2 linked regions of the Arabidopsis thaliana genome follow. The protein of the gene in region 1 binds, or shares a complex with, the protein of each later gene. Each region holds a gene or a part of one and is shown on either strand. Other genes may lie near its edges. The genes, in order: MAD2 and AT2G20635.

Region 1 (6,667 bases):
ATTTGTTGAACACTCTTATCTTTATTATTGGAGATCTATTAAAAGTTTGCATCTTTGGGTTGTTCTTGTTCTTCATCTAATAATCAAACAAGAGAGATCATTTATGTAAATTTAAGATAAGCTTTGACAAATAATTAAAGACTCACGCGCCTTTTATATTAATCTTTGACATCTTCTGCTATCTCTCCTTCTTCCTTGGAGAAAACATGTTTGTTTCCGATAACAACAATCCTTCACGGGACATAAACATGATGATCGGCGATGTTACATCAAACGGAGATCTACAGCCACACCAGATCATCCTCGGAGAAAGCAGTGGAGGAGAGGATCATGAGATCATCAAAGCACCAAAGAAACGAGCAGAGACATGGGCACAAGACGAGACTCGAACCTTAATCTCATTACGGAGAGAAATGGACAATCTTTTCAACACTTCCAAATCTAACAAACATCTCTGGGAACAGATTTCTAAGAAAATGAGAGAGAAAGGGTTTGATCGATCACCATCTATGTGTACGGACAAGTGGAGGAACATATTGAAAGAGTTTAAGAAAGCTAAGCAACATGAAGATAAAGCAACAAGTGGAGGATCAACGAAGATGTCTTATTACAATGAGATTGAAGATATTTTCAGAGAAAGAAAGAAGAAAGTGGCATTCTATAAGAGTCCTGCTACTACTACACCATCTTCTGCTAAAGTTGATTCCTTTATGCAATTTACAGATAAAGGTACAATCTTTAGCTTGGTTTTGGGGATTCTGATTGATTTGTTGCAGGTTTGGATAAAATTTCTTAATGGGTTTTGGTTTAGATTTGGATTGAGAAGATAAAGACTGATCTTTTTTGGTTTTAGTTTTGTTCCTCTTTTAGTGCTAAACCTGGTTAAAGAGGCTTTTGACCATTAATGGCTAATTATAAAGTTGTAGATTTGGTTTGTTAAACTAGATTGACTTTTTATAGTAAATTTGGGTTTTCTTCTAAAATTGATCTTTATCTTTATCTTCTTGTAGGTTTTGAAGATACTGGTATTTCATTTACATCTGTTGAAGGTATTGATCTCACATTTATTGAATCTTTGAGTGTATATATAAATGGTGGTGTTGAAATCTTTTTTAGTTGGGGAATTACTTTGAGAGAAATGGTTGTATCAGTCCTAACTTTGGGTAAACAATTGTGCAACAACTTATGATTCTCTTATAATTCAGTGAAATAAAAGTGAACTCATACCAAATTGTAGAATGTTAGTGATAATGTGAAGCCGATTTTGTTTGGTTTGTGGAAGTAGTGTTAGTCACTTTAGTCTTGATATGAGTTGTATCTGTATGCAGCTAATGGCAGGCCAACGCTAAATCTTGAAACGGAGCTTGATCATGATGGTCTTCCTCTCCCCATTGCTGCTGATCCCATCACAGCAAATGGAGTTCCTCCTTGGAATTGGAGAGACACCCCTGGAAATGGTAAGTAACCAGACAATCTAACTTAGAGAGAGCCTCTCCTTGTTTATTAAGCTTTTGAACTTTTATGGCAACTACTACTAATCGTTGTCATGTTTGAAGCAGGCGTTGATGGTCAGCCATTTGCTGGGAGGATCATAACGGTGAAATTTGGAGATTACACAAGACGAGTTGGGATTGATGGTACTGCTGAAGCAATTAAGGAAGCTATCAGATCCGCGTTTAGATTGAGAACAAGACGAGCTTTTTGGCTAGAAGATGAAGAACAGGTTATTCGCTCTCTTGACCGAGACATGCCTTTAGGGAACTATATACTCCGCATTGATGAAGGTAAATCCACTCTTTCTTCTATGCTATTCATCGAATACTCTCTGGTTAGAGGTTTCTCAATATCCATTTGAATTCAGGGATAGCCGTTAGAGTGTGCCACTATGATGAATCTGATCCGTTACCAGTCCATCAAGAGGAGAAGATATTCTACACCGAAGAAGATTACCGAGATTTCTTGGCTCGACGAGGATGGACATGTCTGAGAGAGTTTGACGCGTTTCAAAACATAGACAATATGGACGAGCTTCAATCCGGTCGCTTATACAGAGGAATGAGATGAGAAAACGGTTACTACAGAAGGCTAGAAGAAACCTTTTATTTTTCATCAGTCACTATAAATAGCTTTTTTTGATCCAAAATACTTTATTTTCATCAGTCACTGTACATATGCACCTCTTTTGACATGCCATTGTGAATCAGAGGAATTTGATTTGTTTATTGAGAAATCTCTTTTTGATCCAAGAGCCATAAAGTTTGATTGGTAAACAAAACGGTTCAGTACAAGAGACAGGGACAATGAAAAAGCTGATAACTTTTGAACAAAACACAACACAAGTACAGGATTCCAATTCTCATACAATTCAGAAAAAGAAAAAAAACAGAAGAGAAAACGATATAGGTGTGTGAATAAAGGATTCACGTGCCTTTAAGAACAATGAGAACTCCCAAAGAGATAAACGCAAGCTGAACAAAGAGCCTTGCATACGTGTGTCCCGACTTCTGTTACTCTTCTTCATCCCACTCGTCGTTCTTGTATGAGACAAGCGTGTCGACTTTGTGAATCTGCAAAGTATGAAACCACCAAAATACTTAGACATTTCAAAGTGTATAAATAAAGGTTTCAAAATTCTTCCTCCTCCTTACCTTGGTATCAAAACCGTGTAACTTAACCATCTGTGGATTAGCAATCAACTTCGGGTCGCTCTCGATCCAAGTGAATGGAACAGCCACATCAGTATCCGTATACGCCAATACATCAAACACACCTAATACAAACAACATGCACAATCAAAAACGAGAATCCAAATCAAACTAGTTCCGAAATGATGATCACTCAAAGTTCCTATGAATTGGTTCTTACATGTTTCATCAAGACAAGGCAAGTAAGTAACACTTGAAGCAACCTGTCTCATAATAGCTTGAATCTCCCTCATGATCTCCTTATCACTCTTCTCCCTCGACACACTAAAAAGTTCCATAAAGATAACATAATGAAACAAAGAATCAAAGAAAACAAACAAACTTGCGAAAGTATCAACACTAAAAACAAAAAACTGACCCTTTGTCAACAACTTCATTATCAGTCTCAATACGAAAATTCCACCTCTCCAAGACTTCACCAGTAGCTTTACTCATAATCACTAACACTACTCTCTGCAACTTCCCAGCTTCAAGCCATTCTTTAGACCAAAAACAAAATCAAGTCTCAGACTCTCTCACAAAAGGAATCATTGAATAAAAGTCTGACATTTGTAAAATTACCGGAGATCTGAGAAGTGAGATTAGACATGAAAGATTTGACGGATTCATCTTCAATAAGCAACATCGGAAGTCCATATTTCTTCACTTTCACAAAACTTTCCTCTGGATAAACTGCACGATTATACAATATACTGTACCCAGAAACCAATAACGAATCAATTTCACTGTAAAAAAATCACAGAATCGAAGATTTCCAGACACTGAAATTGAAAAGTTCCGATCCAATTCTCACCTGTTCGCAGCGTAACCTGGAGGAAGAAGAAGAAGGAAAAAAAAAACATCAAATCGAGAAGAAGATATCTGAAATTGAGTCTAAGAAAAAATGAAGATACGTACAGAAGAATTCGCTGACGATGGCAGCAGATCCGTGTAAAGTGATGATATCTTTAGCAGCCGCTGTTTTGGACGCCATGGAGTCTAAGGATCGGTGATTTTGAAAATTGAATTCGCAAGTGTTAACAGCGTCGCTTAGGGTTTTAATGATTTTGAAGGGAAAAAAAGATATTTGAGGGAAGGATTAAAAAGAAGGAAAGAAAGAAAAAGAAAAAAAAAGGAATAAGAGCGTAACGGCTAGTCTTCCTCGGAAATGCACTTGCAACGGCTAGTTTGGGTTATTATAGTTTAAGGTCGAATCCACTAATTTTTTTTAAAAAAACAATATAATATCATTACCAGAATTTTTAAAATATCAAATATAAAAAAACAACAAATTATTTTTAGCCAATAGCAACATCTCTACAAACCATTGTAATAATTATTATTTTTGGTTTGCAACACATTTTACATTTAAAAGAAATACACCAAATATTAAATATATAATAACTTTGTTTTAAAAATTTAATAGAAAAGTCCATAGTTTTCTGCCATACGGATTTAGACTCGCCATGTGGTTTTTAACTTTTAAGCCGTATGTCTCTTTGATAAACGAATGAAGCATCAATCAAAATTTTAAGAAGCCTTTTAAGTGTTGAAAGGTAAATTTTGTAGTTTCTATTGGTAAATCGACTCATCTATGACTTTTTTTTTTAAATAGATTTCAAATATACTTCATATATATGTATATATAAATTTATGTCGTGACACCCATGACCGAAATCTAGAAAAAAAAAAAAAAAAAACTAAGGTATTTTTTTCCAGTCTAACTGAAAAAATACAATTTTACAAATAACTCAAACTTCAAATGTGTTTTGATTTACTTAATTAAGCCATTATTAATCCACATAAGGTTATTAACACAAATTTATCAAACTAACTAGCCACTTGATAATCCATTACTAGGTAAATTCAGGTATATATATAAGTTAATAATAAACTGATTATTTGACCAAAAAAAAGCATAATTAAAATATATTTTTATACATAAATAAAATAAAATAAACTCTCTTTGATGTTGACATCATATGAACACAGAGAAACAGATGAATGAAAGCGTTGTTAGCCTCTCTACTAGAGAGCTCTTTAAACTCTTTCCAAAAGCTTTCACTCACTCACTGTTACGCTATTAAATGTGGTTCCATCTCAGATATATACGTATCCAATCGAATTTTGGATTCTTATATAAAATTTGGCTTCTTGGGTTATGCCAATATGTTGTTCGATGAAATGCCTAAGAGAGATTCCGTGTCTTGGAACACAATGATTTCTGGGTACACAAGCTGTGGGAAATTGGAGGATGCATGGTGTTTATTTACATGTATGAAGAGATCTGGATCTGATGTTGATGGGTATAGTTTTAGTAGGTTGTTGAAAGGGATTGCTTCTGTGAAAAGGTTCGATCTTGGAGAGCAAGTGCATGGTTTGGTTATAAAGGGAGGTTATGAGTGTAATGTGTATGTTGGAAGTTCGCTTGTTGATATGTATGCGAAATGTGAAAGAGTTGAAGATGCTTTTGAGGCTTTTAAGGAGATTTCAGAGCCTAACTCTGTTTCATGGAATGCTTTGATTGCTGGATTTGTGCAAGTGCGAGATATCAAGACTGCTTTTTGGTTGTTGGGTTTGATGGAGATGAAAGCTGCTGTGACTATGGATGCTGGCACTTTCGCTCCACTTCTTACTTTGCTTGATGATCCTATGTTTTGTAACTTGTTAAAGCAAGTTCATGCTAAGGTTTTGAAACTCGGGCTTCAACACGAGATCACTATATGCAATGCGATGATCAGCTCTTATGCAGATTGTGGGTCAGTATCAGATGCAAAGAGAGTTTTTGATGGCTTGGGTGGCTCAAAAGACTTGATTTCGTGGAATTCGATGATTGCAGGTTTCTCTAAACATGAGCTAAAGGAATCTGCTTTTGAACTGTTTATTCAAATGCAAAGACATTGGGTCGAAACCGACATTTATACTTACACCGGCTTGTTAAGCGCTTGCTCTGGCGAAGAACATCAAATTTTTGGGAAGTCTTTGCATGGTATGGTAATAAAGAAGGGATTGGAACAAGTAACTTCTGCAACAAATGCATTGATCTCTATGTATATTCAGTTTCCTACAGGCACCATGGAAGATGCTCTGTCTCTATTTGAATCCTTAAAATCTAAGGATCTTATCTCTTGGAATTCGATCATTACAGGGTTCGCCCAGAAGGGTCTCAGCGAGGATGCGGTAAAGTTCTTTAGCTACTTAAGATCCTCAGAGATAAAAGTCGACGATTACGCCTTCTCTGCACTTCTCAGATCATGCTCGGACCTAGCAACACTCCAATTAGGTCAGCAGATCCACGCGCTCGCCACTAAATCAGGCTTCGTATCAAACGAGTTTGTAATCAGTTCTCTGATCGTGATGTACTCAAAATGTGGCATAATCGAGAGTGCACGAAAATGCTTCCAACAGATTTCCTCCAAACACAGCACAGTAGCTTGGAACGCAATGATTCTTGGATACGCTCAACATGGTTTAGGCCAAGTCTCTCTTGATCTCTTCTCCCAAATGTGTAACCAAAACGTGAAGCTAGACCATGTAACCTTCACAGCAATCCTTACAGCTTGTAGCCACACCGGTTTAATACAAGAGGGACTCGAGTTGCTTAATTTAATGGAACCGGTTTACAAAATCCAACCTCGAATGGAACATTACGCAGCTGCAGTTGATCTCTTAGGCAGAGCAGGGCTCGTGAACAAAGCGAAAGAGTTAATCGAATCAATGCCGTTGAATCCTGATCCAATGGTATTGAAAACTTTCCTTGGAGTTTGCAGGGCTTGTGGAGAGATCGAAATGGCTACTCAAGTGGCTAACCATTTGCTAGAGATTGAACCAGAAGATCATTTTACGTATGTTTCGTTGTCTCATATGTATAGTGATCTCAAGAAATGGGAAGAGAAAGCAAGTGTGAAGAAGATGATGAAGGAGAGAGGTGTAAAGAAAGTTCCAGGTTGGAGCTGGATTGAGATTAGAAATCAAGTTAAGGC
Region 2 (6,667 bases), on another chromosome or scaffold:
ATAACTTAACCCAGTCAACTAGAATCAGCTGAGTTGATGTCATACATTCATAACTGGCTAGAGAATATATATATCAGACCAACACAGTAAACAACAGAGATTCAAGTTCTGCAGTGTTGCAGTGTTGATAGGCCTATAGGCCCAAGTGAGCCAACTTATGTCTTTTGACTTGTCGTCTGTCTGAGGAAATCTCTCTCTATTCTAGCTTTGTAGATAAAAGAAACCATTTAGAGTATTGGATCAACAACCATGGATTTTACATTGTGGCCAGAACATTTATTGTCAATGGAATTGTTTAAGCAAGACATGACTTTGATCACACAGCTTAGGCGTTTTATACGTCTTTTGTTTCTCCCTCTCACACACACCGGAATGGTAAAGTTTATAGACAACAAAAGTTTATCTATCACTGGAACCTTACAACTATACAAGAAATGTCGTCTGTGCTTTGCTTAGAGACTGCTTCTTCTATCAACTCCTTGGCTGCCGCTTGTGGATCTTTTATGCTTTTGATCAAATCCACCGCTTCTTGGTTCGACATCACCTGATAATTAATGCAACACTCGTCAAGACATTGTTAAAGATTTCATCACTCTGATGATAACATGGGACGAGATCTCAAATACCTTCCAAACTCCATCACTTGCGAAAAGGATAAACTCAGTCTCATGATCGATATTCTCGTCTCTTATGTCTGGATCTGAGCTCAGATGTATCTTTAAGCTCTTATCTCCAAACGCCCTAGCAACCGCTAGTTGTCCATCAACTCTTGGAACATCCCCTGAAACCATTCAAGAATCGTCTATAAATTCCTCTTCTCATGTTTTATATGTGATGAGCAAGTAAGTGTCTCCATCTACAAAACTTACCTGGAATATTTGATACAAAGCCACCACGGCTTTCTATTTCCTTTTGTTCCTTGCTTGGTTCATGATCAACAGAGAGTTGAGAAGCAACACCGTTCTTTGACATCACTGCACGTGAGTCTCCAACGTTAGCAATCACTAGCGTTTTCCCATCTATCAGAATGCCTGTTACAGCCGTTGATCCACCTTTGCCAAGTTTAAGTGACTGCTCTAATATCACAGCATCGGTTGATATGTATGCATTCCTTATAGCGTTTTTCGTATCAGTCCAAAAATCCTTCTGAAATAAGTGAAACAACAAAAACATTTTAAGTCTTATCAGAGACATTATAGAAATCCATAAAAACAGATTCATGCATGCTTTAAACATGAGTTACCTCTTTGAGTATGTTATCAAAGAGATTGGTTTGCAAGTACTTGGCTACATCATGCCCTAAGTGACCATCAAAGATAGCAAACAAACCCAAATCATGGCCGTCTACTTTCTTGAACTCAGACACAACATAGTCCTCCATCGGATGGCCCGCTTTGCCTTTCACAAAGTCATAACCGTGTGCGATGTTCTTCCACACCTTGGTTTTACCTCTGCCTGTGTCAGATCCGCATAATCCAACCTTCAAATATTCACACCCAAACAACAAGAAATTATACTATTAGTTTCATTTTTAAAAAAAACTTTTTTACTACTCAATACATTATAATCATTTTATTCTTAAGCTAAAAACATAAGTTGACAAATAACAGCAAAATATAAGAAGAAAAAAAAAAGCAAATATGAAAATAAATGAGAAAGATAAATTATAAAATCAAGTTTGGTTTGATAAACAAAAAGAAATTCAAAGTTTAGACATTTAAAGAAAAACAAATGATTATTAGATCCACATAACCCTTTGTAAAGACTCAATTTCATGAATAAAATTCAGCTTGCAGAACAAAACAAACAAAAAAGATCTACATAATCCAACCTTTACCAATTCACACCAAAACACAATCACATTAATCCAAGTTCTGTAATTTCTTCATCAAGAGCAACATACATACATTTCATTATCACCAAATCTCTAACCAAAAAGAGAATATAGAAAATGCACAAATTACTGAAACAAATTCAGTAACACAAGCTCTAGAAGAATCAATATCATCGTTTAACATGCGAGATGCTAACTTCCTTAAAACGGCTCTACGTACAAGTTATCACAAAGAAACAAATATAGCTTAATGAGAAACAGAACAAGACATACAAGGATCAGATCACAAAATCAAGATTCTTTAGAGCCCTTGAAACGCTACTAAAGAAAAAAGAAAAAGACTAGCGTTGAGCTAAGCATACCTTCATCTTATGGAGAATCTCTCTGCCTGCCATTGTTACAAGAATTTGTTTCTCTGCCTTTGTGTCTGAAATATGAATGATTCTAAGAAAGAAAAACAGAGAGATGAGTTTATGTAATAAATATGAATGTGAGGTAATCAATCCACATGTGAACAGCCGGTGATTCTTATCATTATTGGCTACTGACTTCCTCCGCCGACGACTTTTCTTCTTTATATTTTTCTCAAGGCAAAAGTATTCCCTAAACAAATTCTCTCTATTATTATTTGCTACATTCTTTCACATTGCCGACAAAATAAAACATTACTTTTAAAATAAAAAACTGTTATTTCGTGCACATCATCTCATTCATTACATTATTGATCGGAAAAATATTTTTTTGTTATTACTTAAAATAACAAGACATTATTTTATCAGTTTTTCTAGTTACTCTGTCATGACAACATGTGCAACAAAGAAAGGAAACTTTATCTTAAAAATATTTTCAAACAAATTCGAACAAAATGACGTCGACAAAAAGAAATACGCGTGTAAAAGACAAACCACACGCAACAAAGGCGCGTTTAGCGCGTAAGACTAGAATCCGTGGACCTGAAGCGCGTGGGCCGGGATTTTCATTTGTCTTAACTGAAACAATGGGCCACATAATTAACAAAATAGGCCCATTTACACTTTTGGGTTATATAGAATATTTGCTCTGGTCCAACAAATTTTGAATTTCGAAAGTTAATTTTTTTTGAAAAGCTTCACTTCCCACTCTCTCTCTCTCTCTCTCTCTTCCTACGGCTGCGAAAATGACAATCGGTTACAGAGACGCCGCCGGAGACCCGCTCTTCCCGTGGCTTATGTAACTCATGCTTTATCCTTCCTTCTCATCTAACTAATTGTGCTATATGTGTCAAAATGGATTCTAATTTTCCGATGTTGTATTTTGGGGTTTTCACAGGGAGATTAAAAATTCGATGGAGGATCTATACGCTGGTAAAAATTCCGGATACGATCTCGATAAGCTTCTATTTGATTGTATCTCAACTTATAAGAAAGATTCTCGGTACCGAAATGACCTCAGATTCCTCAAGATCTGGTTTCTCTATGTAACTTTACTAAAACCCTCTCTCCCAACTTGTTTGAGCTTAAATTGTGCTTTTCTTTCCTCGATTGTTTGTTTGATTAGCATTCTTAGGGTTTGGGATTGTTATATTGCGAATCAACTGATGTAGATGTTACAGTTTGGGGGTTAAATTGTTGAATCTCTTCTTAGCTTGAAGGCAGGGAAGATTTTGAGAGGGTTTATAGAGAAATTGAAGAGACTGAGATATGTAAAGGGCATTCGTTGCTCTATGAATGGTATGCTATTTTTCTTGAGGTCAAAGGATTGTGGCGAAGAGCAAATTCTGTTTATCAGACTGGTCTTTCAAGGTCTCTTATCTTTCTCCTTGTTCTGTGGCTCCTTCCTTATCTTTTTCCTCTAGTTTGTGGTTTCATTTCTTATTTGTTTCTCATTGGAGAATTGTAGGAAAGCTGAACCATTTGACAGGTTAAAAGAGGCTCACTCATTGTTCTTACAAAGAATCTCTAAGAGGACCAAAGCATCTTCCCTTGAAAAGGTTTATTTTTTAATTTTAATGAGTAGCATATGGTTATTCTAATGCACTTTGATAGCTTTAGTTGAGGATTGAACGTTTTCTTTCTGGCAGGTTGGTGATGATGCTCAGGCCACTGACTTGGAGACGGGTTTTGTGAATCCATGGGAAACATCCACTGTGAACGGCTTAATTCACAAGATAAAACCACAGCTTGTGAAATATGATGTAAGGCTGATGGAAAATCATGATATTTTACATGATTTAACTTATATAGGGAGGCTTGTCCACTGAGTTTCTTTCTTTATGTTTGCATCAGGGGTACCATGTAAGCAACAAAGTTTTCCCTGGAAAGGCCAACCTGTCATCTTTGCAGAATTATTCCAGAAATAAGATCATTGAGATAGGTATACTTTTTTCATACCAATCTAGTCTGTCACCGCTACAGGATAAAGAATCCTTCTTTTTATTATAAGATGCATTTTTCAAATTAAAAGTGGCTGGGCATGTATTCATTTGTGTAAAAGAAATTGATTCCCGCTTTGTTCTCACCTGGGACAATATGTCTTCTCTGAGACTAAAATAAAAAAAGTGACCTGGATCCATTGGCTCTGTCTATTTGCTAGGTGGAAGAAAGTACCAGATGAAGGGCTGTGCTGGCCAAGGTGGTTTTGCTCAAGTGTTCAAAGCATTCATTGACAGCAATCCTGATGAAGTAGTTGCTCTAAAGGTAGATAGACCCTTAAAGTTTTTTCAAATACAGTATGATGCTAAATGCTCATATTGCATATACAAATCTCTTCACAGGTACAAAAACCACCTTTTCCTTGGGAATTCCACATGTATCGCCAACTTGATTGCAGGATCCCAGATAGCCAAGTATGCCCTTTTCCATTAATATTACCAGTTCACAGGTGTTTCACACCGTACTAATTACTCTCATGCTATGTTAGAGATCAAGTTTTGGATTGGCTCAGAGAGTGCACGTGTATTCAGACTACAGTATACTTGTCTGCGATTATTTATCACACGGGACACTCCAGGTAGGTGGTATCTTAGGACTCTCACGGACTGAATATACAAAATGCAAACATAGTTCTTTGCTTCATTTGCCTTCTTTTTGTGATTTAAGGACGTCATAAACTCGTATGTCGTTGTTGGAAAGTCCATGGAAGAAGTTTTGTGCATGTATTACACAATAGAAATGCTGAACATGCTGGAGACTTTGCACAGTGTTGGAATCATTCATGGTGATTTCAAGCCAGACAATCTGCTGATCCGATACCCTCCGTAAGTTTATTCCGCTCCAATATTGCTGATTAGATTGTAGATAAAGACTTTTTGGTCATGAAGCCATGTACTTGTATGTTAACGATCGTGGCAGAGACTGACATACCTCACGGATTACTTGCAGAGAAAACCTAACTGAGACAGGCTTTCATGAGAAAACAGGTTCTTGGAGCAAGAAGGTAAATCCCTTATACAACTACTAGTACTCTGATTTGTGTGTGTCCACAATCTGATGCAACTTTTCATTTCTACCTCAGGGTCTCTGTCTTGTTGACTGGGGTAGAGGAATAGACTTGAGCTTGTTTCCTAGAACCACCGAGTTTACAGGAGATTGTCGTACCTCAGGCTTCCGTTGCGTGGAGATGAAGGAGGATAAACCTTGGAAGTTTCAGGCAAGTCTTTAAAATCACACTGCTTCAGCAAGAATTTTTCTTTGCATGATTAGACTTTTAACCATTCGAGTCCATTGTAACATGTGTTATATATAGGTGGACACTTATGGACTATGTGTAATCGTCCACATGATGCTGCACAACGTCTACATGGAGATCGAGAAGAAGCAATCTCTGGACGGTGGCTACATTAATATGCCGAGAACTTCATTTAAAAGGTCTCAAAAGAATAATTCAACTTCATTTGCTTGTTTTGTCTCTCAAACAAAAAAAAATTATTGTTTGGATATTGAATCACTAAGTTATTTGCTCAGATACTGGAAGGTGGATCTGTGGAAAGAACTGTTCACGAAGCTGCTCAACAGAGAAACGTGTGAAGATGACACAGAGACACTGAGGAATCTGAGAAAGTCAATGGAAGAGTATATATGCTCTGATCCTAAGCTCATGAAGAAGCTTAACGAGTTACTCGCCAAACAACGCATCTCGTTATGCTCTTCGTAATCTTCACGCAGTAATTAAAAAGTCTCTGTATAGTGTTTGTGAGGAAAAAAGAAAGAGACACTTGGGAGACAATGATTGCCTCTCAAGTAACGCGTAATTTGTGGTCTACGATGATTTATTATTGAATGTATCTAACACATCTCTGGTTCCTACTTTGTATTTCGTATCACATGGTAAGTATAAGAGAGCAATCTCTCATATCATCAAGGACGAAGGAACAAAAATATGTGTAGGTTTGGTATTGTTAAAAGGTTTGACCCAAAAGTAATTTTAGTGTATGTAAATGATTGTTTATATGTTGGAGGATTTTATTGAAAGAATGGGCAATGAATATGCAGTAAAGAGATTGACTTATTACACAGTTAATCTAATGTCTACTCCTCCGACAAATTCTATCTATGCTCTGTTTTCATCTAATATCTTTCCAAGACCTGAAACCAAAGAAGAACCCAAAGATGTTTCAGTGTAAAGATCAGTTTAATAGCCAGAACCTAGAGCATGATTCAAGAAGCTGTTACCTACAATAAAATGTGAGTGCAGTTAATAGACGATTCCTAAGGAACCAAAGGTTAAGCTGGAGGAAGTGGGCGACGACATGTTGGGCACTCCATCTTTATATCCATCCATCTCTGTAAGCATCCCGAGTGGAATATATGCTCACACGGCGTTACCATGCAATCATTAATACGGTGTCTGAGATCA

The links.
Region 2: MAD2 (region 1) and AT2G20635 share a complex: the UniProt entries of both Arabidopsis thaliana proteins name them as parts of the mitotic checkpoint complex.

Annotation. Positions count from the first base shown.
Region 1 is NC_003074.8:9,500,243-9,506,909, reverse strand, and holds MAD2 (DNA-binding HORMA family protein), read right to left. Parts: upstream 3,855-6,667; 5' UTR 3,679-3,854; coding exon 3,603-3,678; coding exon of another isoform or gene 3,599-3,602; exon of another isoform or gene 3,515-3,598; coding exon 3,499-3,514; exon of another isoform or gene 3,398-3,498; coding exon 3,267-3,397; intron 3,185-3,266; coding exon 3,064-3,184; intron 2,970-3,063; coding exon 2,866-2,969; intron 2,771-2,865; coding exon 2,649-2,770; intron 2,568-2,648; coding exon 2,508-2,567; 3' UTR 2,240-2,507; downstream 1-2,239. Other genes in the region: AT3G25990 (Homeodomain-like superfamily protein), read left to right, coding at 207-729, 1,011-1,049, 1,329-1,457, 1,560-1,784, 1,862-2,064; AT3G25970 (Pentatricopeptide repeat (PPR) superfamily protein), read left to right, coding at 4,689-6,667. UniProt on the Arabidopsis thaliana protein: Required for the execution of the mitotic checkpoint which monitors the process of kinetochore-spindle attachment and delays the onset of anaphase when this process is not complete.
Region 2 is NC_003071.7:8,897,420-8,904,086, forward strand, and holds AT2G20635 (protein kinase and Mad3-BUB1-I domain-containing protein), read left to right. Parts: upstream 1-2,940; 5' UTR 2,941-2,990; coding exon 2,991-3,043; intron 3,044-3,142; coding exon 3,143-3,290; intron 3,291-3,457; coding exon 3,458-3,615; intron 3,616-3,712; coding exon 3,713-3,803; intron 3,804-3,893; coding exon 3,894-4,007; intron 4,008-4,098; coding exon 4,099-4,186; intron 4,187-4,405; coding exon 4,406-4,509; intron 4,510-4,586; coding exon 4,587-4,658; intron 4,659-4,732; coding exon 4,733-4,822; intron 4,823-4,911; coding exon 4,912-5,069; intron 5,070-5,193; coding exon 5,194-5,248; intron 5,249-5,326; coding exon 5,327-5,461; intron 5,462-5,557; coding exon 5,558-5,679; intron 5,680-5,775; coding exon 5,776-5,965; 3' UTR 5,966-6,279; downstream 6,280-6,667. Other genes in the region: PIA1 (PP2C induced by AVRRPM1), read right to left, coding at 422-544, 627-781, 870-1,146, 1,244-1,480, 2,197-2,229; AT2G20650 (RING/U-box superfamily protein), read right to left, coding at 6,535-6,667. UniProt on the Arabidopsis thaliana protein: Serine/threonine-protein kinase that performs 2 crucial functions during mitosis: it is essential for spindle-assembly checkpoint signaling and for correct chromosome alignment. Has a key role in the assembly of checkpoint proteins at the kinetochore.